Linked DNA regions of Lepisosteus oculatus. The protein of the gene in region 2 interacts with the protein of the main gene of each other region in a biochemical or structural test. Links are inferred from orthologs where the notes say so. Each region holds a gene or a part of one and is shown on either strand. Other genes may lie near its edges. The genes, in order: aurka, usp21 and yod1.

Region 1 (8,066 bases), on a different chromosome or scaffold from region 2:
AATCTTAAGAGAAAGGCAGCTTACCTCATTAGATTTCTAGTACATCTATGAAAATGATTCAGCTTAAGGGGCATCAAGCGACCAAAAACGACGACACTTCCCTGCACTCAACTGCCCTCCACTCTCCACATGGGAATGTTGAGAAGCTCGTGAACAGGGCGTCTCCCCACGGCGGGAGGGGAGGCCCAAGGAGCCTGCAGGAGGTGTACCTGAGGTGCGACTGGATCTCCACCTCCCTGCGCAGCTGGTGCTCCACGCCCGCCTTCTCCAGCTGCTTCTTGAAGAGCACCTTCAGGGCCAGGATGAACATGGACTGCCGCTCCCTCGCCAGGTACACGTTCCCGAACTTGCCCTTTCCCAGCGGCCGGCCGATGTCGAAGTTCTCCAGGCTCCAGCGCTTCCTGAGGAAGAAGGAACGGGATTCAGGAAGTTTTCCCATTAGATAAATATGAGAAGTGGCTTAGAAAAAAAACAATTTCTCCTGATCTAGGTTTAGTGTCCCCCCCTTCACATGCAAGACGAGCAGTAGCACCAGGAGCAAAGTAAAGAAATCGATTCTAATTGCTGGCTTGAGAAAAGGACAATGCATTTTTTTTTAATACGGAAAATGTGACCCCCAAGAGTTCAATTCCTGGTTCTTACTTAGAGTTAGAGTTGACAGAGTTCATAGATCCAGTGGCCACAGCTTTATCTGCACAAGAAAAAGGACAATTACTACAGGGACATTCTTGAACATTAGTGTAAAAGAACATTTGACTTTGTGTGCAGATCCTTCATGTATCCAAGATATTTCCTTTATTGACATGTGCCTGTGCTGATCTAGAGCTCGTTCTCCTGCCTCTCTATGCCCAACGGCCAACAGGTCTTGACTTGAGTCCCCGATGTCTCAGACTGGACACTCCTCGCTCCAGCACATCGAAATAAGTGAACTGCAAGTACCGGGGAGCTCTGAAGACCGCTGCTTATTCTGAAAGTTACCAGTAATGCTCTATTTCAGCTATCCCAGAGCTCATGTTCCGTCAGCCCTCCCTCAGACAGGCCCAAGCCCAGCAGTGTCACACCGCAGACTGGGGAAAGCAGGGCTGCCCACCTGCAGTTTTCTCCTGCGCGGGCGGCTCCACAGGGGCAGGAGCGGAGGAGGAGGAGGTGGTCCGGCCCCGAGCGGGCGGGGGGGTGTTCTCGCGGGAGGCCTGCGAGGCCTCGATGCGCAGGGCCGGAGGCTGGGGCAGCTTCTGCGGCCCGGCGGGGCGCTGGACGCGCTGCGGCCCGTTGGAGACGCCCAGGGCCCGCTGGGAGGACGTGGACACACCCGCCTGCTTGTTCTGGGACACGGGGACCCGTTTAGGGCCGTCGCTGTTGAGCTGCTAACACATGGGGAGAGGAGAGTCAGGGACCACACTTCACACTGCAGGTAGCCTTAATCTACAACACTCCAGAACTCCTGCCCAGTGCAGTTTCAAAACACCAAGCTTTCCTTGGAATGAAAGAAAACAGACATATTATAGAAAGCTTGGAAGAGCTAACTTTAGTGAAACATGGGAAATGAGCCACAGTTTCCTAAGCTTTGGTTCTGTGTCACAGCAGAAACAACTGTCACCTAAGGAGATCAGACTAGAGAGGTAAGGCGTTTGCACACCAGCCGGTTTTCATTCCATCCCACTGTAATTAGATAATCACAGCCCTACCTGATCTAATGCTAATGAGCTGCTTCCGGTGAATATTTGCATTGTGTTTTTAGTTAGGGATTTTCTCTCACCTACAAAGTACAACAGTTAAAGCTCCAGCATGTGTAAGACCCGGGAACAAACAGATCACATTAATCTTATTATTAAGCGAATGAAGGGTTTGATTGTGTGACTAAGGGCTCGGCTGGAACACAAACCTGCAGGTCACCAGGACCAGGAACCACCGGACCAATTGCAAGCACTGATCAGAACTTTTTCCCCCCCTGAGAATCGGTTTTTCATGGTTATACCCAAGACAAAAGATCCCCCGTGTGGGTGGAGGGGATAACTGTGTGCAAGCGGAAATTATCCCTGCATTTGCGCCCTCCCGAGGAGCACACGTGATCTTTGGCCCCTCTGCAGCACGGGCATTCAGAAACTAAACGATCAGGAATTCGGAAGTGGGTACGAGTCTCCCCCTAGCGGCGATCCCGGGAGGCGCACGGCGGCTCTCACACCGGCGACAGCTTACTTTCGCAGTCGCAGGACACTGCGACCTCCTCGCCGTCTTGGCCGCATCCATGGATCACTGGAGAAAGGAGCGATGAAGGAAAGAGAGATGTTCAAACTCTTATACGCGTTCTTAATTAAAACAAGACGAGTTACGCTAATAAAGTCGACTGTCTCCTTTAAAAATACACGACTAAGGGATCTAGAATACAAACCAGCATACCCAATTTATTTTAAAAATAAAACACGATCGCCACCACAACTAAAAATCCCAGGGCGACACACCTGCAGATAATCTTCACGATTTTAATCGACGTCTGAAAGGCGTCCCGCTGCAGATAAGCGAATTCGGCTAGTTCGCTGTTCAAGACGCATCGTTTGGTGTATAAACGCGTCTCCTATGGCGACGTGGAAACCGTACGCATTTTTCTGAACCTTTTTCCCCAAAGCCTGAATGGACACGACACTGCCACCTCCGTTTCACTCACGGTTTTGTTACACATACAGCTGAAAAATATTTGATTAGCAACTACATTTCTCCACAAAAGATACATATCCCACGCCGGACCGGAAACAATAACAAGCACATTATTTACATATACCAAGACTTCTAAGCCACAACTGGTTGACATATGATCATGATAGATGACAGATGATCACGATAAAACGAAAAAAGGCCACGTTAGTATCAGAAGCGCTCTCACGTACCGCTTTTAGCTACTTGTTCAGGCCGAACGACGGATTTTCGTGTCTCCTTTTCCTCGCACACCCGAAACGCGCTTTCTGCCCCGTCTCTGTATTTTAAATCCTTTCAGGTACGTTACCAGGCGAATCCGAGAATTAGAAGAGCTTATTTTCAGCTTTAACCCACAGTTTTTTTGCCGAGCCAGCCCGCAGGCCGCAATGCTCCTATCGCACGTCACTACAATCTGTTTAAATTCAAATCTCCCTCTTTTAACTACCTTTAAACCTTCCCCGCGTCTGATTGGCCGAGATCAAACCACGCCCCTGCTCCCCATTGGCTGGGGCCGCCTTTCCAACCGTACAGAGCCGGTGTAAAAGGTGCTGCGATTTCCCACAGCGCCCCCTGCTTGTCGCCAAAGGACAAGTCTACGGCCGCTGTGCGGCGAGAACCATTTTCTCAAGACCGTGTGATAATACGGCTATTATCGTAATATAAAAATGAATCCTCCATGCTAATAAGTTTTTATCATATTTCTCAAATCTTAGTTAAAAAAATTGAATCCTTTTAAATTAATAATTATTTTAATTTCCTGGTGATTAAGGGCTCAGTAGGGAGAAGTCCTTCAGGACCAGGTTAAAGAATGGCTGAATTCAGAATTTCCCAGCGTGCCTCCACTCCCCCATTACCCGTGCCGTTTCAAGTCGATCTAAGGCTCTCGTTCAGCTGGTTCTTCTTTATGAACCTATTGCCATCTGCTTCTGTAACATGCATTGTTCCAGACTCCTACAACCCTTTGTGGAAAGACATGCACCTTGTATGGAGTACTAAACACAGCTTCCAATTGAGCCCCCTTCGCCGTTACGCAGTTGATCACTGTCAACACCTCAGCCTTTGTGAAGACATGCATCTTGTCCTCTCAGTCTTCACTGAAAGTCTCTGTAGCCAGTGTACTTACACTAGAGAAACACATGTTACCTGCAAGCAGCCTGTGTCACTCCCAAACCACAGGCCTTTTGACCCCCCGGCTACAGATGAGGACTGCGTGAGCTGGAAGACACTGCAAGAGGAGGGCAGCTGCTCTGAGGCCGTCTTAGAGACGGGGTGCTATAGCAGGGACAGTTTTTCCTTGACCCAGAGCAATGATAATATGCCTCTGCAGGAACACACTTCTGTCTGCAGCACCAACCACCTGGCCGTTTCACCTCCTATACTGGTCTTCATCAGAGACACAGACGGCCTGCAGGGTCACTCGGCGTCTTCAGACGAGCTCTGGCAGATATTTGGGAGCCCAGGCTCCATCCCTGAGCCACACGTCTCACAGCAGCAGGAACGCAGGACGGATACCAAAGCCGTCTCGTCTCCAGAGAACATCGGCCTCACCCCCATTTCTCCCAGTCCCAGCAACCAGATCCAACAGCACCAATTTGAGTTCCTCCGGGAGGAATTGGTGTCATAATGAGTGGGAACAAAAATAAGAAACCAAACTCCTGTGACCCTAAAGAACCGGCCTTAGAACTGACCAGTGCAGCTCCTTATCCTTTCCCCACTATCCACTCCCACTTGTGAAGAAAGAAACACCCAGGCTAAATTGTTACAAGTTTATTAAGCATATAGTTGTTACAAGTTCGTTAAGCATGTTGTTGACATCGGTATTGTTCCATCACACACAGCACAGACCCGCACTCACTCCTCACCAAACACCCTTCTCCTGCCTTAACAAAATGCATCCTACCCCCTCACCCCCACCGCACACATTCTAGCTGATAGTTCTTTTAAACCATAGTCTATTGGTATAAAAACATTATAAAGCACCACAAATGCTGTGTACCTATAAAAAAAGTCACAACCCAGGCCCCTCAGTAGTGCCACACATCCAGGAGCTCATAGCGAAGGTTAGATGACTGCCACACAGCACAGCACCCGAGCTCGCCTCCAGGTCCATCATCCTCCTTCACCGGAGCAACAGCTCTCGAAACGGCAACTCGCAAGGCAGGCCGGCGCTGGATCAGGCGAGAACAGCCGCCGTGTCACGACACTCCGGCTCACACAAACTCTTCCAAGGAAATGACTCCCGCGGGCGGAGGGGGACTCCTCTGAAGTCAGAGTTAAAGTTAGTCTCGGGCTTCACACCCGCTAGTACAAAAGTAAAAGACTCCTGCATGTAGAAATTAGTCAGCATTCATGCATTACAGATTCGCAGCAACTCGGCGCTCAGGACAGGATTAATTACACCAGCTTCCCGACATGCATCGCTCTACCAAGCCAGACCGGCAGAGAGGGCGTTTTCGGGACTTTTTCTTTGCAGCCCCGTACAGGATGAAGAAACGGGTGGGAGTCCGTTATCGAGTCTGCACGGGGGAATCGTGGAATTTTGTACAAAAAGAACTAGATCTTTCCAAATAAAGACCTTCGCCTGCAAAAGCCCCCGAGCAGTTTCATGGGTACCCTGGGTGAGGCACGGGGAAAATCCATGCTCCCTTGAATCGGCATCCATGTCGCTGTGCAGGTCGTGGAGGAGAGCACACGTTGGCGTGCTGCGTGACCCTTCGGTCTCCACGCTGCCACAGCACCTGTCCGCAGGCGGCCCCTGCCTGCAGTCTGGATAAGGTGACCGCAGAGCTGGCTGTTGTAAAAACGCCCCGCGGAGGTGGACGGCGAGGGCTGGAGCTCGACGGGCCTGGACTTGGAGAAACCAGGAGATGGCATCACTCTAAAGACTCGGGCTCCCCACCTCTCCACCAGCTTCATCCTGACAACCGCTCCCTACTCCCAACAGCTCTGCGCATTCCTGTAGCGTGACGTCACTCGCTCTTCCGAATAAAACTCACACCACAGGTAGCTGGCAGGTGACAGAAGGACTGCAACAGCTTGACAGCCTTGCAGGTCTCTCAGAAGGTCAGGTGCATGCAATGTGACACAGGCTGGTTATGCTTGTGTTGAAAAAGCATCAAACCTTTCCAGTTATGTTTAGATCTCTGATGCCACTGTGGCTCAGCAGCGCATCTTCCTAGAGGATCAGACATTGTTGAGCTCAGCTTTTAGACAAGGGGCAATGCGAGTCTAGTGGCAAAGCACAGCCTAGGCAGCATGTACACCATGAAGAAGTGAGGTGGGTAGTGTGTTTCCTACAGACAGATGTAGACCAAATGTAATATAATGCCCTCAGGGTCATGGCAGGTCAACGCGGAGAAATCAAAAGGGCTCACAGTGCGGAAATGACTTCAGTTCTGCAATCACTGAATTCTTGTCACTAAGTTCGGTCAAATACATTCCAAAAATGTCCAAACACACTAGGACTTTTTTTGTTACATGACAGGGTAACAAGAAAAGTTATGAACATTCGAAAGATACACAATTCCTTTAAACTCCTACTGTACAGCAAGCAAAAAGTCCCACCCTCCCCCATCTCTGGTTTCTCAGTACCCTCTCTCCACTCGTGGGTTTTCTTTCTTGTGCGTGTAAGACAAAGACGCCCCTTTCCTTTTTCTGACCTACGCACGCTTTTGTGGCACTGCCAAAGCCAGCATTTATCCAGGGCGGCGCCCCCTCTTTCCTGGAGCGCTTCAGCAAGTAAACCTTTTGAAGAAGGATCCCCCACCCCGACCTCCGACCCCTGACCCCCGACCCCGGGCAGCGCAAGCTGAGCTCAGAGACGCCAGCCGTGCACAGCACCACTGCGCGCCCTCCGGCCCTGGTCCGCTCTCTGTTCCCGTGGTCTCCTCCACTGGTACAACAGTTAATACTCCAAAAGAGAAACGTACAGTACTTGACATTCAAGTATTGAGATATTTGCCGGATTGAACCGGCGTGCTAGGGCCCGTTTCAGGCCCTCAGAGGAGGACTCTGGATGAGGAGCAGTCAGCTGCGAGAACGTGGCTCAAATAAATAGAATCTTTACAAGTGCTAAATCGCTACCTCTACAAATAAAATAAATAAATATCCTTCACCCTTGACAGCAGACCTGGTCTGTAGTTTTTGTTTGCATTCCCAATCCCTTCTCTCCTCCCCACCCCTCTAGCCCAGGGCTGAGACGGCATTCGCCACTGCCTCTGACCCAGAACCGCCGGGTCCCAGCAGTCCAAATCCCTCTCTTTCTGGACCCGGACAGCACCACGGACAAGCTGCAGGAGGTCCAGTTCACAAAACCTTCTTGCTGGGGGGTGGCAGGATGGTCACAGCCCAGCTCAGTCTGAACCGGCGCCGTCAGGAAAGTACCTGTGCCCCCCCCCGCTGGGAGCCCAGGTTCCCCACAAACCTTTATAGAGTTTTGACCTAAAGGAACAAAAAAGAATAACGAACGAGCCAGATTTCGCAGGACCGGCACCAAATCCAGAGTCTTAGGCTGCCCGCCCAAGCAATAAATACGTTTCCACAGCCTCCCTTTGTGTCACACCTGGCTGGATCACACTGGATCAAGAGTGCCCTCGAGCGCAGGAGGGACAGAGAGGCGATCGGAGATCCCCGTCGGCGTGAACACACAATAAATTAGTCTGCGGCGACACAGAGGGAGGCCGTGCTGGCGAGAGGAGGATGCGCCCCTTGGTAAGGGCCCGGGCTCAGGGGTCATTTCTCAGTAACGGCGGCAGCAGCCATGGGCGTCCGGATGGTGTTGCGGGCGGTCGCCGCCAGCTCCTCGATCTCGGAGTTCAGCCGCCTGATGACCCACTCCATCGCCTCGCGGCCCTGCAGGAGCACAGACAAGCGCGCCTCAGCGGAGGGGACAGGCGGACAGGCACATGCAATGCTACTCTGCAGGAAAGGAACACGCGGCGAGAACACACACACAGGTACACTCACGAGGGGAAGGCAGCGGGCACTGTATGTGCACACGAAAGTAAGGTTTGACATCGCCTTCTCCCCCTGCCAGATCTCAGCCCAAGGGAGCAGGGAGAACAAGCTCCACACCCGACAAGTCAGCACACAGCACGAAAGATAATCCCAGTCTAAAATTCCTTACTTCTCAGGATCCTGGGGATGGGGCCTGTAAATGAGCCTCTCGTCCAAATCAACCAATGTCTTATGTAACAAGACAGGGACGCACAACACTGAAGATCTAAAGGGTCTCGCACCCTCGTCCACCAACACGCGGGAGCAAACGCCTTGCAGGTCAGGTCTGACACGAAGGAGTTCGCGTTTTTAAAAAGAAGGTACATTTTAAACTAGCTCGGTACCTACTCCGCCCAACTCGTTAGAGCACCGCTCGAAGA
Region 2 (8,027 bases):
CCAGAGGTCAGAGAGCACTTGTGAGAAAGCTGCAGCAGACAGGGAGAGCAGATCAGCAGGATGACAGCAATGGTGACTCTGCTATCCACGCCAGCGTGTGACATCAGACCAGTGGTGATATCCCAAAGTGCATTGCTACAGGCTTTATCGTACATTTCTGTTCCACAGATGCAGCTGCTACTGGTGGCACATTCAAAAGAATTGTTTCTCCAAACATTCAAAAATGAAGTCTGTCATTCCTGAAAGACTAACTCTAGCACTTCATGATATTAAATAGTGATTCAGTATAAAAATACTATGAATTTATGCATAGAACTACATTTTGCAGTGAAATGTTAATATATTATAACCATAATCTGAAAGAGATCCATTTACCTATCTGTTTTCTAACAACTTCACCCATTTCAGACTCACAGGGGGGCAGAAAACGTAAACAATAATCTCTCATGATAATGTAAAAAGCCCTCGTCTAGTGTAGCATCTTGTGAATTTCGCCTGGCTCGAATACTGCTGGTCACAGCAGGGCCAGATGTCAAAGTACCGTTCATGAGCTCTGGGGGCTTGCGGGTGCCCATGTCCTGCAGGTACCGCTGTCTCAGGCAGTGATCCCTGAGGGGCAGCGTGTGGGACAGGCACTGCAGCACGGCGTTCAGGAAGCACTGCAGACACACAGAGAGCTGTGGTGAAGGCCTGACACTTGCGCAAGAGAGACAGAGGGACAGGTGGAATGAAGAACAGAAGGAATGAGGTAAATAAAAGAACAAAGATGGAATCACGCACCTGTGCCTCATAGAGTAACACAAAGTAGCTCTAATTAGACAACCAGGGCCTAAAACAACATTTGGTCTGTTGAGACCTGGTCCCAGGTCAGAAAACCCCAGAAAAACCACCAAGGAGATCTACCTACTGTATTCCCAACATTGTGGATTCCAACACGCCCGCTGCCCAGCGTCAGACTGGCTTCCTGCTGCAGGAAGACAGACAGGAAGATGAATCACAGTTACCACCTCCACACCCACTGCCCCTCATCACACCTCCCACTGCCACACCCACTGCCCCTCATCACAGTGTAATAGATGAGTATCTGAGCTGGTTGTGGGTTTGGGTCCCCACTGCAGACACTGCTGTTATGCCATGAGAGAGGTACATTACCCCAGTTGCTCCAGTCTGCCAGGCTGTATGGGTTTCTCCTGCAGTGGGCCAGTGTCCTGTTCTGGGCAGGATTCATGTGTTTCCTGGTCTGTGTTTAACACCACGGGAAGCGGGATGAGCCGATGCAGCTCGGATACAGAAACGACCTCAGTCATTCTGAGCTTAACTGGATCAAAACCCAGTGGCCCCTGTGAGAGCCTGAAAGCTGGGATGCAGATTCCTGCTGCAGGCTGATGTGGAGGTACAGATCAGAGACTCTTCCTTAGCCACAGTCTTTTTTTTTAGAGCCCTGATCTCATTACCGCGCAATAGATCTCAAACTAGAGGTCATGGAGACTCATCCCATTAGCTCCTCAAGGGGAGGGACGTGCATGTGTGTGTCAGAGCGTGCTCGGGCACGTGCACCAGGAAGGACGCTCCAGGGACAGCAGGGCTCGTGCAGTGTGTCAGGTGCCAGCTCCCAGGGATGAGTAGTACCGCTGTTCCCACTGGGCTCTGACTGACTGCTGGTGAAGCGCTTGAGAGCAACCACCACCGATTCAACAGGGAGCCCAGATCAGACCATGACTGACTATACTAGTTGACCACTAGAGCTGGCCAGAACACTGACTGAGCACCGGAGCTGACCACACTGATTGACTTCTGGAGATAACATCATAACACATCACTTTATTAGCCCTATACAATTTCTTGCATTAGGAATTCGTCTTTTCACATATCCCAGCTTGCTCTCCATGAGACACATAGACACACAGGCAGGGAGAGAAGCCTGGGAGATGACCACTTGACTGAACACCGGATCTGACAGTTACAAGGGCTGCTTCTTACCTCGTTATCAGCCACCAGGAGCAGCCCCATGAGAGAGCTGTAGAGAACGGACTGGGAGATGTCCGGCCCCTCCTGCTGCACGGCGCTCTGAGTGGCCAGCGAGCGGCACAGCGCCTGGCACGAGTCCTCCATGACAGCCGCGGCTCTTCGGGCGACTCGGGCGCAGGGGTCCCGTCCGACTGGGGTCCACGACCGGTTTCCACAGACCGAGTCGCTCCGGTCGAGCTCACTTCCAGGCGAAGCGCTCTGTCCGCGACTGAACCTCCCGCAGCCGCTCAGGAGAGGAGATCCGGCGCGTCACTCTCACCGCCGCGGCGGTCTCCTGGACAGTCTGCAGACCCAGCCGGGGCGCCGGTCACTCCGTCGCAAAAGCTTTGCGTTTCTTCTGTTTGTTATGTTATAGGCTGTTTTAAAAACGCTTTTCAAAATAGCTGGCTTGATTTATGTGAGTCGTAGGAGTGTTTGCTTCTTATTGCATTTAATGATTTAGTAAAATAATAACTATAGAGTCGTTTTTGACTGAAATAACAAATAAAATATTAAAGACTGCAGTAAGAAATAAAGTATCAGTATTTTTTTTAATTGAAATATTGCGACAAAGAATTAGGCTCTACTAACCTTATCCGGAGATAGCAGAGATACGAAAATCTGAAGACGAATCCCGTTGGCAAGAGCTCTCTTGGTGTAAATTGGGAATGTCACTACATCTGCAGTTCGTTCTACACGGGATAACACTTGTGCTGTCATCTCTTGTCTTTCACTTGTGTGAATTTAGACGATTAATGTTAATCCCCTTTAATCTCTTCCAGCTCTCTCTCTCCTTTCTCTATATTTAGACACTCTCGCCCACAGTTAGCCCTTGCCGAATAGAGTAGGCATCCTGTATATATTACTGTAATATATATTTTATTACATCACTGGTTAGTTACTTTCCAAAATGCAGAGGGTTTAAAGCTTTTTAGCCGGGGTTTTAACGATTTACCGAAAAACACATCATATACTGTATATCTCTCCCGCCACCCAGAATAAAATCAGTGTAACTAAACTGCGTGGTTTGTTGAGTGAAGAGCAGCGCTCAGGTAATCGCGCTCAGGTGAGTCCCGGCTGGCTCACTCTCACTCATAAGCCCCACCCCTCCGCGTCTCCTCCCACATCATTGGGCAGCAGGCACGCCAAGCCACGCCTCCTCGCCGGTGCGGTCTCCTTGACAACAGCTGTCAACTGTGTTACCCAGCAGCAGGACGGTAGGGAAATCTTTCTTTTTCCTTACAATGTGTCAATACGACAGTAAATAAGTGAGAAAATAATCTCAGCGGTTTCCCTTGAGCTCGGATGAATTCAGAGGTGGTGTCCGGGCAGAGCGTGTTGCAAACGTAAAAACTCGCACTGATTATTTCTCCAAGTAGTTGCGTTTCGTTTCGACAGTAACGCGTTAGTTGCTGCCGGAGTGGATTCGAGCCGGGTCGACTCTGGGCACTGGGCCGGGCTGAGCCGCCGGTACCCGCTCCCCTAGTGTTCTGTCTTGGGCTGAGGAGGACCGGTCTCCCTCAGGACCTGCGAGAGCCAGGGACAAGAGCCGAGTGGGATCAGGAAAAACACATTGTGATTATTTCATGAGGAATCTTCATGACACCCAGGAATCAGTCTGGTTTGCGGATGTTTATGGAGTAATTGTGGATTGAACCCGCTTGGCTGTGGGCTATCCCGCAGGCAGAGAGAGGAGTGCCCCAGCGCAGCACTGTGGAGGAGAGTGTGTGTGTGTGTGATATGTACTGTTTATACAGTATTTGAGAAGTGCCGGTGGGAATGATTATGATTTAGAACAGCTGGGACGAACGAGGCTTGGTTGTGGTCTTCTCTTCTGAGCTTCACTTTATTTTCTTTCCTGGGAATCTCACTGTGCCTACAGTATGTGAGCTGTACAGCAGCACTGCTGAGCGCGCAACAAGCTCGCACAACAACAATGTAAGACGCCTGATTCTCAGTGTGCAATCGACTAAGACACAAGTGCTTCGTGGGTTAAAGGCTTTGTGTGGAGCGAGGAAGTGGCGTCTTCGACCTGAAGGGTTTCCAGTGAGGAGCAGTGTCGGCCGGAGCTGCAGACGAACAAAACGAAGTTCATTTGACTCTGAAAAGCAGAAAGAAAAAAACACTAATTTCAGTTGTCGAATCGTCTTTGGTTTCTCTATCTGTAGTCTGTGAAGCCGGCTTCTTACAATGTTACTGTGTGTCCATACAGCAGATCTGTCTTTATGTTTTGAAAGAAGAAAATAAAAAAACAACACACAAGTAGCTTTATATAAGGAGCTGAGACACAAATAAAGAAAATGAATGAAGTAAGACTAAAAAAGCTGTTACCTGAAACCCTCTAACAGGCCCTTGTTGAGGAATGCTGAGCCCACACCATTCAGTCTGCCCGATGACCACTCAAATGCAACTGGGCTTAATCAGTGAACAAAGCAAGGTGGCCGTAGGGCTAAATCTAGAGTTTAATTATATTTTTTGTGGCTTTTAAACTAATCAATAACAGTTTATTGTATTGCCTCACACCTGAAGAAGGCTCCAAGGCCGAAACGTTGTGTTTTCTTTCTTCTCTTTTCAGAATGGAATAAACCTGTTACTTGTTCCTCTGAAAATCTTTATTATGATGGTAAATTTACCTGTGATTGAAATACGAATTTAATGTCCATCAACAAATGCAGAAATGCAAACAGATTAGCTGTCTGATAAGCTAGTGTACAGTGTATAGCTGCACTGTCCTGGTTTCTTGTTAGAAAGAAAGAGCTGGGAACAGCACAGTCACATGTGTTCCATGAACGCTATCTGTTTTTAAGGTCCTTGTGCAGCTGAGGTGGACACAGAGACAGGAAGTGATGTCGGACCGAGAGGAAGAAGGGGTGGAGGACAAAGTGGAGGTGGCGGAGCCTGGGAACACAGCTTCCATCTTGGACTCGGAGGGAGAGGAGGGTGGCAGAGAGGAAGGGGAAGGACAGGGAGAGGAAGAGGCATTGCTTGAGAAGGAAGAAAAGGTGAAGCTATTGATTTGTCTGAATCTGAATGCTGCATTCCTGCACAGCTAGCCACTGTCATCAATCCCTTGTGTTCCAGACAACAGCCCAGGCCTACAGCCTACCTTTGAGCCAGTGTTGGCTCTGCTGTTTATAGTCACCAGTGAGACCAGCAGACAGCACGTCTGCTGCTGTTTCCCAGCAGGAGCTGAGTTAACTGGTGGATGTTAATCTGCCGGCCTGTGTTTCTGCTGTATTTCCTCTCTTGCAACTGATACCAGATTCTTTGTCCAGAGAGTCAGCAAACTGAGCTGGAGCCATTTTATGTCTTCTAAACTTCTAAATCGTAGCTGTTGTCACAAGGCAAATGTTGGGTAGAAGTTTTGATAGCAACAGCTGAGGCATAGCTGAGTGGAAATAACATACTGGTGCAGTGTTGGAGCAGTTTGAATTTACTGAATCAATTAGAAACAGGGACAGGAACCTCAGGCTACAAGGAATCAATTTCAACATTTACACCCAGATTCAAGAGTACAAGAGCAAAGAGCAAGTACAAGGGTAAAAAATACATGAATCTGTCTGCTGTGATACAAATGGCTGATCAGTTCAAGAAATGTCTGAATGCGATCCTTGGATCAATAAGTTACTAACTACAGAACTGGCCAGATGAGCCGAATAGCCTCCTCTTATTTGTGACCTTTCTTATGTTCTGACTTCATCATAACATTGTTTCTGAACACATAATTCTAAGCATAGTAATCATCGGCTTGCTGTGACACTGGTATAGCATGCGTGCAGCTGTCTTTTATCTGCAGAGCCTCTCCACACCTGCCTGAGCTGTAACAGAGCTGGTTCTCTCTCCCTCAGCTGGAAAGCTGCCCTCTGACATCAGAAATGATCTCCGAAGGCCTGTCCCTGCTGTGTCGCACTGGCAACGGACTGGCACACGCCTTCGTCCGGCTGGAACTCAAGGAACGGTGAGCATTCAGCAGCCTTTGACCACTCAAGCTTCTGGATCCCTTTGTACCACAGGCCCCAAAGCTCATTTTTTGTGGCTGATTGCGCACATGTGCAACAAACACGTCACCGTTTCTTCAAAACAACTCTCCAAGACCCAATACATGTGGAAAAGTCATATCAGGAACCCAACTATATATCCTCAGAGACAGATCTCAGCACCCTGAGTGATGGGAAATGTAGTGTGTGAAGTGAAAGTTGACAGCAACAGTTATAACCATTAAGGATTTGGTGTTGACCTCTGTATTTCTCTCATCTGTCCAGGGGCTTAACAGACCTCAACATATTGTCCAGCTTTGTCCACCTGCGTTTCCTGGACATCTCCTCCAATTACCTGTCTGACCTCTCCCCTCTGGCCTCCCTCTCTCATCTGCTGTGGCTCAAAGCAGATGGAAACCTGCTAGATGGGTTCAAAGGTCAGCCCCTGGGCCAGCTGGAGTACCTGCAGTGGCTGAACTTAGCGTCCAATCGGATCAAAAACACGGAGGGGCTGGGAGGGCCCTCCTTGGAGACCCTCAACCTGACTGGTCAGTCTGACTGCTGTTTGCCACTGCACTTCTGAAACAGTGATTGCTGCTGACTCACAGTTTCATAGGCAGACGGAGCACCTTCACAAAGGGTCATCTCACACAAGAACTACAGCAAAAAAAAAACTACACACTATTGACACCAACCTCTGTTCTAGACATACTGACATTTTTATGAACTCTAGGATCATGTCCTGAAAAACATTGCATTTTCTTATTATTGAACTTTGGACATTATTGTGCTTTCCCAAAGTATGTATAGATAATATATATTAAACAAAACAAACAAATATATATATATTAAACCAACTCCCACGCATGGCTCTTTGCAACAGGCTGAGGGATCTTTGACAGGTGCAGCAGGCTGTGTCATTCTTCACTGCCTGTCTTCAGAGCACAGGAAGAGTGGTGGGAGTTATGACCCTTAGATTTTAGTGTGCAGGTCTGCTTCTCCAGAATGCTAATTGGTGCATCTGTATCACTTCCATTGTGTTTCTGGAGTCTCTTATTGGTGTCATTGTCTACAATATGCATTTTGTGTAATTCTCAAATGTTGTTTTTGATCATATACTTATATTGGTATATAACAATAATATTCCAGAAAAAAAAGGGAAAACAAAGAATGAGTGCCTACTTGCCTAGTGCAATGGCTGACTGTCTCCATTCATTTATTCCATTCCCAGGCAATGGGATTCAGTCAATATCCGGCCTGGACTATGGGCGCCTGGCGAACCTGGTAACCCTGGAGCTCAGAGGGAATCGCCTGGAAACCACAGACGGGATCTACCTGCCCAACCTGCGCAGACTGTACCTGGTGTGACTGCGGGTTGTTCTGCTGAGAATTGTGTGAAGTGCAGCTGTGTCTCATCGCAGCAGAGCACAGACACCACCTAGTGACAGGCCATAGGTGGCAGCTCTAGCAACATGCTTTCACATTTCCTGATTACATGCAAGACATCATAATTCACACGCAATACATCACTTTATTATCACAACGTTATTCCATAACACTCAATAAAATGCCTTCAGAATCTTCATCATGTACCTCAGTGCTAAAATGCACTATGAAGAAGAGCAGCAGTGACAGCACAGTCTGTATTGACTTCTGCTTCCCTTCCCAGGCCCAGAACCTGATCAAGCGTCTTGAAGGGCTGGAGAGGCTGGAGAAACTCACCACTCTGCACCTGAGAGATAATCGCATTGAGTCCCTGGAGGGCTTCAGCGAGGGAATGAAGTCCCTGCAGTATCTCAATATGAGGTGGGGCCTTATCTCCAGCTCACTGGACCTCAGTGATGAGTATACCTGAATGCTGCTCGGGATCTCCTTGGAGTGCTTGCAAGACAGATTGTTTGATGGAAAAAAAAACAACCTTTTTTATCAAAAGTTTGGAACTCAAAGTCAAATTAATCATATTCCTGTTTTATTAGTCCCACAAAATACTTTTAAATAAATCAATTCCAACTGCTAGAGCTGAAAGCTTATATATATTCACGT
Region 3 (7,882 bases), on a different chromosome or scaffold from region 2:
GATTAGGGGAAAAAACTCCCCTTTTCTGTAACCGTTACAGTTTGTATTTTTGTTAGACTGGATAATTCACGATTGCAAACTACAAGGCTGTATAATCACCCTTTTGTTTGCCTTTTTAATTTTTAAAAACGGGGTATGGATAATCATTAGGCTGCTTCTGTGATTAGTCTTTGTCTTCGTCTCTAAAAGCTTGCAAGTGTCTGTCATAAAACATCTTTTTATGTAAAGTCTTCTGTTCAGGTTCTCGTTCATTTCTGTTGCATCTCTAATGTCTAATAATAAATGTACCATTTATTATTTTACTTATTTTAACTACACAAATAATAGTGTTTAATCGCACATCGTGTTGCAGAATAAATAGAAACGGACTCAAAATTATTTTTTATCGTACTTCAGTAGTTATAAAAAATCTTCCCAAATACATTTCAACGCAAAAACGGTCGATTTAAACCCCTGTTGTGAAGAACAGCTGAAGGTGAGGATTTTTAAGAGGAAATCGGAGTTGGATGCTCGTTTTCAGTGAGTCGTTTCTTTTGGGGATATGGATTTTGGACGCATTTCAGAAAAGAAAAGCTTAGTCCACTTCTGTCAGCTCTGTTTAGCCTAAACGTAAACGGCGTCAAATAATGGACACATTAATCTTAACCGCAACGATTGACCTATCCTTCATTCACTTTATTGTATCACTGTAATATTTGCTCATACGGAGAAATTAGTTTAACTGTGCTAATTACCCAGATCACCAGCTAAATAGGCGTCATTTCTGACGTTTGGGAAGTAAATGTGAGTGGATTTGTCGAGCCTTGGTGCTACAGGATGTCAGTTCCTTCCAGGAAAGGTGAGGTGGCAATTGTTTTTTTTAAATGTGTGGACGTTATTCACAGCGTTAATGCTCTCTTTCACCCACCAGTGAACGAAAACGCCGGCCTTTAAAAATGAAGGAATCGGATTTTGAGTTACAGTCTGCATTGCTTGCAATCGGACTTTGCGATTGAGGCTGCAGCCTCACGTTCATGCAAGGCGTATTCACAAAGTGAAACCATGCGCTGCACTGTAACTGGTATTCAGTGTGTAAGGGCGGTGTCGGGTACACACCACTGCTGAAATAGTGAGGTTCATTCTGAAGATCAAAGCAAGCTTGCAATGTTGCATTAAGTGTAAATTAAACATAACGACCTTCTTTGTGGTTGCACGAACTGGTGTTTGTCCTTATTTCGTTATTAAGTATTAACCTACAGTACCTGTTACTACAAACTACAGTTCAATGGCATTTTACCCTAAGTGAAATAAGATCGTTGTCGATCGTTGCTTTTACATCAGTTGGAAAAGAGGTGGTCAGGACTGGGTAGCAGAGCTAGGGTCAGCATTGAGGTCAGAAAATGGTCTGATGTGTCATCAGAGCTGACCGATATCACTGTACACTCATGAGTTTATTGTTGGATGTAGGATTAGGTTTGGTTAGAGTGTACATTTAAGTTTGGGGTCAGGTGCTATATAGTATTGTAACGCTTACGGCCGACAGGCGCTGTGTAAGAGCCGGCGTACCAGAGCGGGTGACGTCACCGCCCTTCCCTGTGATAGCAGGACCACAGCTACTGGGCTGTGGAGAGATCTCTCTTTGGCTCACGGGGCTAGGTCGCTGCAGAGAGACGCGGAAGTCCCGGGTTCGAGCCCCGGACGGTGCAGGGGCCGACCTAATGCGGCAAGGGCGCCCGCCGGAGCCCCGTTGCGTTACAGTATGATAAGGTTAGCATTTGCACTATAGGCCTGGGATTGAGGATTGGGCTGGAGGTCATATATAACATTTAGGGCAAGGTTTTAGAATGAAACTATTGCCTTTTTTGCTTAAGCCATTATATCAGTTTATTAATATTAGGTAAGATTGTCTAAGCTTTTGGTCAATATTGTATTTAATATGCCAGTCCAGTGGTGTCTTTTTGTAAATAAAACTGGTCTTTCCAAATATTTTTTCCCTCAGATTTGTTTAACGGGGGTGTCACATGCTGAAAAATACCTTTTTGAAAAATCTGAATGGTCAATTTGTATAAACTTATCAGTTTGCAGCTCAGCCACAGTCATTCGCTGCTCAAGAAATCTGCATTCTCAATCTGCAAACAGATGGGCTGAATAACATCAACAGTACCTCTCCCTATCCCGTTCCTCTGCATGTACTGCAAGAGGACAGTTGGCAGGCTCTATGGGCTGATTCAAGCGCATCCTGCTTTTGTGGTCTCTAGAAAGTTCTCCTGCTGTTTGCCACCAATTGGAGTTTCACACTCCAAAGAGCTCTGCAGGACCCAGATTTAAATCTGTTCCGCCTATAGACAACACTCTGGAAGCATTCCAGTTTCTCTTAATAATAATAATAACTGCTTATACTTATATAGCGCTTTTCTGGACATTCCACTCAAAGCACTTTACAGGTAATGGGGACTCCCGTCCACCACCACCAATGTGCAGCATCCACCTGGATGATGGGACGGCAGCCATAGTGCGCCAGAACGCTCACCACACATCAGCTATCAGTGGTATCAGTAATGAAGCCAATTCATAGATTGGGATTATTAGGAGGCCATTATTGGTAAGGACACCAGGGTAACACCCCTACTCTTTTCAAGAAACACCCTGGGATTTTTAATGACAGGGAGTCAGGACCTCGGTGTTACGTCTCATCTGAAGGACGGCGCCTGTTTACACTATAGTGTCCCCGTCACTATGCTGGGCATTAGGACCCACATGGACCACAGGGTGAGCACCCCCTGCTGGTCCTACTAACACCTCTTCCAGCAGCAACCTTACTTTTTCCCAGGAGGTCTCTCATCCAGGTACTGACCAGGCTCACACCTGCTTAGCTTCAGTGGCTTGCCAGTTGTGAGTTGCAGAGTGATATGGCTGCTGGCTCTTATATTGCTGTTCAGGTTAAGATGTCTAGAACTACCAAACAAATGAATACTCACCCTGTGGCAGAAATGCTTGAAAGGTTTCCAGCCAAAGTCAATCATATTCAGTATCATCATATCAATCAGTTTGATGCAACACCCTCTCAACCCTCTTACATCCTCATTGGAAGGCAGTTCTGCTGCCTTCCAGCAGGAGGCTGGACTCACTTCAGAGCCTTTTCCTATTGCTTTAAAGGGGCAGAACACATTAATAATAATAATAATAATTGCTTACACTTATATAGTGCTTTTCTGGACACTCCACTCTCCTGTTTACAGTATAGTGTCCCCGTCATAATGTCCTCAAAGTGTCCGTCCAAAGCATTATTCTTTATAATGAACCCTCAAAGTGTCACGACTATAGTCCCCCCTCCTTAAGGGTGCTCCAGCCCTTTCACTAAAGACTTCATTCTCTGCACCTGTTTCCCATTCCCTGCCCACCTTAAAAGCCAGGCGCTGACGCTCTTCCGGCCTCTGCATCTGATTTCCATATCGTGCGAGTCCGGGACCAGGAAGCGCCTGGTTCCGTTAAGGTTTTAACCTCGGTTCCCGTTCCTGTTCCCCGTCCGCCGGTTCCGACCCGGCCTTCGTGGTTTTTAATTCTTGTTCTGATGGATCTCCTGGTTTTGGACTTACTCGTGTGTTTTGGATTTTCCCTAAGGACTACTCCAGGATTGTTCGCCTCGGCCACACCTCCCCCGTGCACCAGCGCACCTTGGACACGCCCCCCTGTCTTCAACCCCGTTTTCCTGCATGACGTTTCCCCAATGTTTCCCCACTCCGTCGGACTGTGTCGTCCGCATAGGGTCCGGAAAGAACTGTTCGTTACACAAAGTAGTTATTTTTTCACGGCATTGTGCTAAATACTTTTTATTTTGGCAATTTGGACATCTTTTGCTCAGGAGCAGAATTTGTTGAAGACTATTTTGTAGTACTTCCTGAGTTGTATTCCTTTGAATAATGCTTTTTATGAGTTGAAGGGACATGCTGCTTGTGGGGGGAGGCACATAATTCACATATATGCAGTAAGCGATTTCCATTACAAAGGTACACATTCATTTCTGCTTTCTTCTGCCACTTAGTGTTTAACAGATATATGTTCAAGTTGTGCTGAAGTGGCACATCTAGGGGTTTCTTCTTGACAGTTAAGCAAATGCATCAGGTTTACATCAATAATTTTAACTCATGTCCTTCACCTAAATAGTGACTTGCTGGGAACTCAATACATTGCAGTTGTTTTGCTTTTTATTGGTTATATTTATTTACCCCCAAATGGTTGCAGACAGGACAGTAGAGTTTAACATACTTCTGCAAAACTAGAATTTTATTAGTTGTAGTTTTGTCAAACAACTTGCCTGCCAGCTTAAAAAATGAATTAATATCACCACTAAAGCAAGAGAGGGGGGAAAGAAATTAGGTTGTTAAATGGGTAAGAAAAAAGTAACATTGCACCTTTGATGTGTAATTTAGGGTGAATCTTCTTCAAGTATTCTTATGAATGTATTTCACACTTGGAAAAATATCAAAAAAGTATTGCAATACTGAGAACTCTTTTGCGTTATGTGAAGTACAACATTTGCTCTAGGTACCTCAGTGATATTCCGAGGAAATATTATGCGCTGTCTAGAAAGACGTTTTTTTCAGCTGTCAGTACCTGTAAGTAGGAAATTTCATAATTCTTAAAATAAGAAAAAGAGACAAAATAGTGCCTTTGAAATGACGGATTTTATGTAGCATTTCACTAAATGTGAAGCTGACTGTGCTTGGTGATGGTGAACCAGTTAGTGGCGCTCTGGACTCTTGAACCAGAATTTCTGAACTAGGACTCTAATAATAGTGACCAAGTGATACAGGGCTGTAGACGGAGCCATCCTTTACGTGAGATGATGGACTTAGATCCTGAATTATTTGTTTAATGAAGATGCAATGGAACTGTTCACGAGAGCACCCCTCCCTAAATTGCCCCCCTTAATTCACTTTAATTTCTGTGTCAAGTGGAATCTGCACATTACCCAGCTGGGATCTGTGGAGCACTAGTGGATGGAGTTGGTCCCATCTTATAATACTTTGGGATCCTTCAAGATGAGAAGTGCTATAAATAATATTTATATGCATACAAAGAATTTCTTGTTGAATAAGGTAGTGAATAATAACTGTCTGGTTGCATTAAGATGTGAGTGTGTGACACTTCAGACTGCCGTCTTAATTGTGTTAATAGCGTACAAAGGGCATAAAAGCCAGTTGTTTGTATTAGACTGTCAGAAGCATTAGCACACTGAGATATTGCTGCAACAACATTATTTCGCCCCATTTATTGTGTTATTGAGTTTCTCACTCTGATTGAAAGCTCTTTTCTTCATCAGTTCATGAAAAACATGGCTTTCCCGTCTCTAATGATTTCGTGGTCACAAAGTGTTGCAAAATACAGTCGATACACTGTTAACACTACCCTATAATGTCCAGCAGATGTCACTAGAGACCCAGCCTTGTACGCTTTGCAGACACAGGGCTAATAGTGTTTTTGCAGTTCATTTATGCCACCACATCAATACTTAAAAGTCTTCACAATAAATCAATTCAATAAGACATCAGATTATGAATCAGATTTTAACGCACATTAATTCAACGTGTCCTATTATTTTAGCAAGTAAGAGTTTCGGTTAACTGCGATTCTAGCGCCTGTGCTGAGTGAAGTTGTAAAGACGGTCAACTCTCCTGGTTTTATTGTCTAGCTAAGCACAAGTATTATTTGGTCGTAGTAAAGTTATCTTTGCATTGCGATATATTCTAATGTTTTATCGGAAAATATTAGATAAAAGCAGCACAGTTAAGTCTTCAGTACCAAAGAGGATTTTCCAGTCGATCCGTGAGTCAGGACATGGCACAGGGTTTAAAGAAGAAATTACGAGATGGAGGGATTCCCTGTTGTATGCTCTTTGGGTGCAGCGCTTTCTGTTTGTATTTGGATCTGTTCTTTGAAACTGCACTGGGGACATACTGTATACAGTGGACGCGGAATCTTTCATCAAGGAAAACAGATGAAGATGCACCGTCTATTTATAGCTGCGAGCACAACCAAATTGGGGGAAATGCGCTTTCAGCATTTTTTATTATTCCAGTTTTAGTAGTCTCAAACGTGCCAAGAGAAATGTTATCGAATACTGTAGTAAGCGGCCGGTTGGGTTGCATCATACTGGCTTTTAAAGGAGCCGCAGTTAGCGAAGATCTTATTGAGACCCAGTCGGCTGGGGAGAGCATCCGATTGGTTCTCACAGTGCAAATCTGGGAGAAATCCAGTTAGCAGCCTGGTTCTCTTTAAAAGCATCAGTTGAGAAAGTAGTGTAAGCCTCCACAGGGCAACATGGCTGTTAGTTTCTCATGGGTGCATTACCCCATATCGTGGGTAAGGAATTGCTGATGTGTTGCTTAACCTTTCTTAATCTTTTGATGCCGTAATAACACGCTAAAATGCAATAGGAACGATAATATTAAAAACAAAGCATCTTTGTTATTATCTGTCCGTACCGTACTGCCTAAAATAATAGTTTAAAACAATTTAAACAACTTACTTTTTGGTGTTCCCCGCGCATTCACAAAACAATTACCATACTTTCAAGTTATTGAGAACTAGAATTTCCAATATAGAAACCATTCGACTGGTACGCCCATTGACTAAATGTAATTTTTAAAATGTATAATGCAAAAGCAACATACTTGTAATGATACACTGTAACATCACAACAATACACAAGACAGTATTAAAGTGGATTGGGTTACGTATGATTCCGTTAAATAAAATATGCAAGTACAGAACGAGCGTCATTTCAAATACAGCTCATGCAAGATTTCTTAGCCAAGCTTACGTAATGCGCAGTATTTGGAGTCCTAGTACTCTGAGAGTTACGGTAGACAGATTGTGACGTAGGGACACACCTTCATTCATGTACCCGGTGTACATTAGGAAGGTCGTCTGCGGCACTGGCGAAGAATTTGCTTACCTGCTGTAGTAGCCGCATTGCCCGTTCTTTATACCCGGATCTTTCCTCTTGTCCGCTGCCTCACACAGAAGCACCGACAGCAGACTGTACGTCAAAAGTGGAGGTTTGCCTCTGTCTTTCTCACAGGGGGGAGAAGATCCGTAAAAGAACATAACCTCCTGCAAGCGAAATAATTGCGTACCAGGTATCCGTTTACATCAGTCTGTTTTGGGGGGTTACTGAATGGAGGGCAATTATTATCAACATTCCTGTTAATATTCAAAGGAATGATATAAATTTGATTTGTAGGCAGATTAGATTTGTAGGCAGTGTATTTAAGTGTTTTGTGTTTCAATATGTAATTGTCAGTATGACATTTGTGCTAAAGCCCGATAGTTATTCATCACCTGATTAATAGGAAATTGTTTATTGCTGTTGCTATGACTGCACTGACTGCAGACGGCTAGATGTAACAGGACCCTTCTCTTTGACGGATTGCTGCCTGAAAGTCTATCAATTTTAAGTGTGGAGTGGAGACTTATTTGGTATGTCCATGAGATGGTCAGAGTACTCATTGTAATACAAAAAGATCATGACAGTCAAGTCACGTTTTTTTTTCTCTCAGTGTCAAAGCTGTTTTTGGAACTGTTTGCAGTGTTTTGCTTTCACAAAAAAAAGAAATTGTTTTAATTATACTGCACTGTAAACCCCCTGTAATGAATATTAATGTCCATCACATTTTATTTGGCTGTGATTTAAACTTTTCATATTATGGTTAGGATCTATTGATGCATTAACAGTTTTTTTTCCTCATCTTCCTTTTAACCACATTATACAGTTTAAGACAAAGACCTAAAACTGAAAGTCCAGGGGCCTTGTTGTATATTAGTTTTCTATTTTAATGCCAAGATACATAGTTGGCTCAGCATCAGTGTACATAATGTTATAACTTGCACTAACTTGGTT

The links.
Region 1: the proteins of usp21 (region 2) and aurka form a complex in vitro, tested with the Homo sapiens proteins (2 studies listed by BioGRID, with this or other methods). The link is inferred for Lepisosteus oculatus from reciprocal best matches to the Homo sapiens genes USP21 and AURKA.
Region 3: the proteins of usp21 (region 2) and yod1 form a complex in vitro, tested with the Homo sapiens proteins (2 studies listed by BioGRID, with this or other methods). The link is inferred for Lepisosteus oculatus from reciprocal best matches to the Homo sapiens genes USP21 and YOD1.

Annotation. Positions count from the first base shown.
Region 1 is NC_090711.1:2,943,140-2,951,205, forward strand, and holds the start of aurka (aurora kinase A), read right to left. Parts: upstream 3,096-8,066; 5' UTR 2,883-3,095; intron 2,254-2,882; 5' UTR 2,248-2,253; coding exon 2,197-2,247; intron 1,365-2,196; coding exon 1,091-1,364; intron 692-1,090; coding exon 643-691; intron 402-642; coding exon 210-401; intron 1-209. Other genes in the region: prelid3b (PRELI domain containing protein 3B), read right to left, coding at 7,423-7,542. UniProt on the Homo sapiens protein: Mitotic serine/threonine kinase that contributes to the regulation of cell cycle progression.
Region 2 is NC_090697.1:77,985,978-77,994,004, forward strand, and holds the start of usp21 (ubiquitin carboxyl-terminal hydrolase 21), read right to left. Parts: upstream 3,071-8,027; 5' UTR 2,599-3,070; intron 2,366-2,598; exon of another isoform or gene 2,312-2,365; 5' UTR 2,113-2,311; coding exon 1,981-2,112; intron 968-1,980; coding exon 908-967; intron 660-907; coding exon 542-659; intron 30-541; coding exon 1-29. Other genes in the region: lrrc23 (leucine-rich repeat-containing protein 23), read left to right, coding at 4,854-5,009, 5,856-5,965, 6,270-6,532, 7,216-7,346, 7,654-7,790. UniProt on the Homo sapiens protein: Deubiquitinates histone H2A, a specific tag for epigenetic transcriptional repression, thereby acting as a coactivator.
Region 3 is NC_090700.1:33,690,966-33,698,847, forward strand, and holds the start of yod1 (ubiquitin thioesterase OTU1), read right to left. Parts: upstream 3,022-7,882; 5' UTR 2,958-3,021; intron 839-2,957; coding exon of another isoform or gene 817-838; exon of another isoform or gene 653-816; intron 1-652. UniProt on the Homo sapiens protein: Hydrolase that can remove conjugated ubiquitin from proteins and participates in endoplasmic reticulum-associated degradation (ERAD) for misfolded lumenal proteins.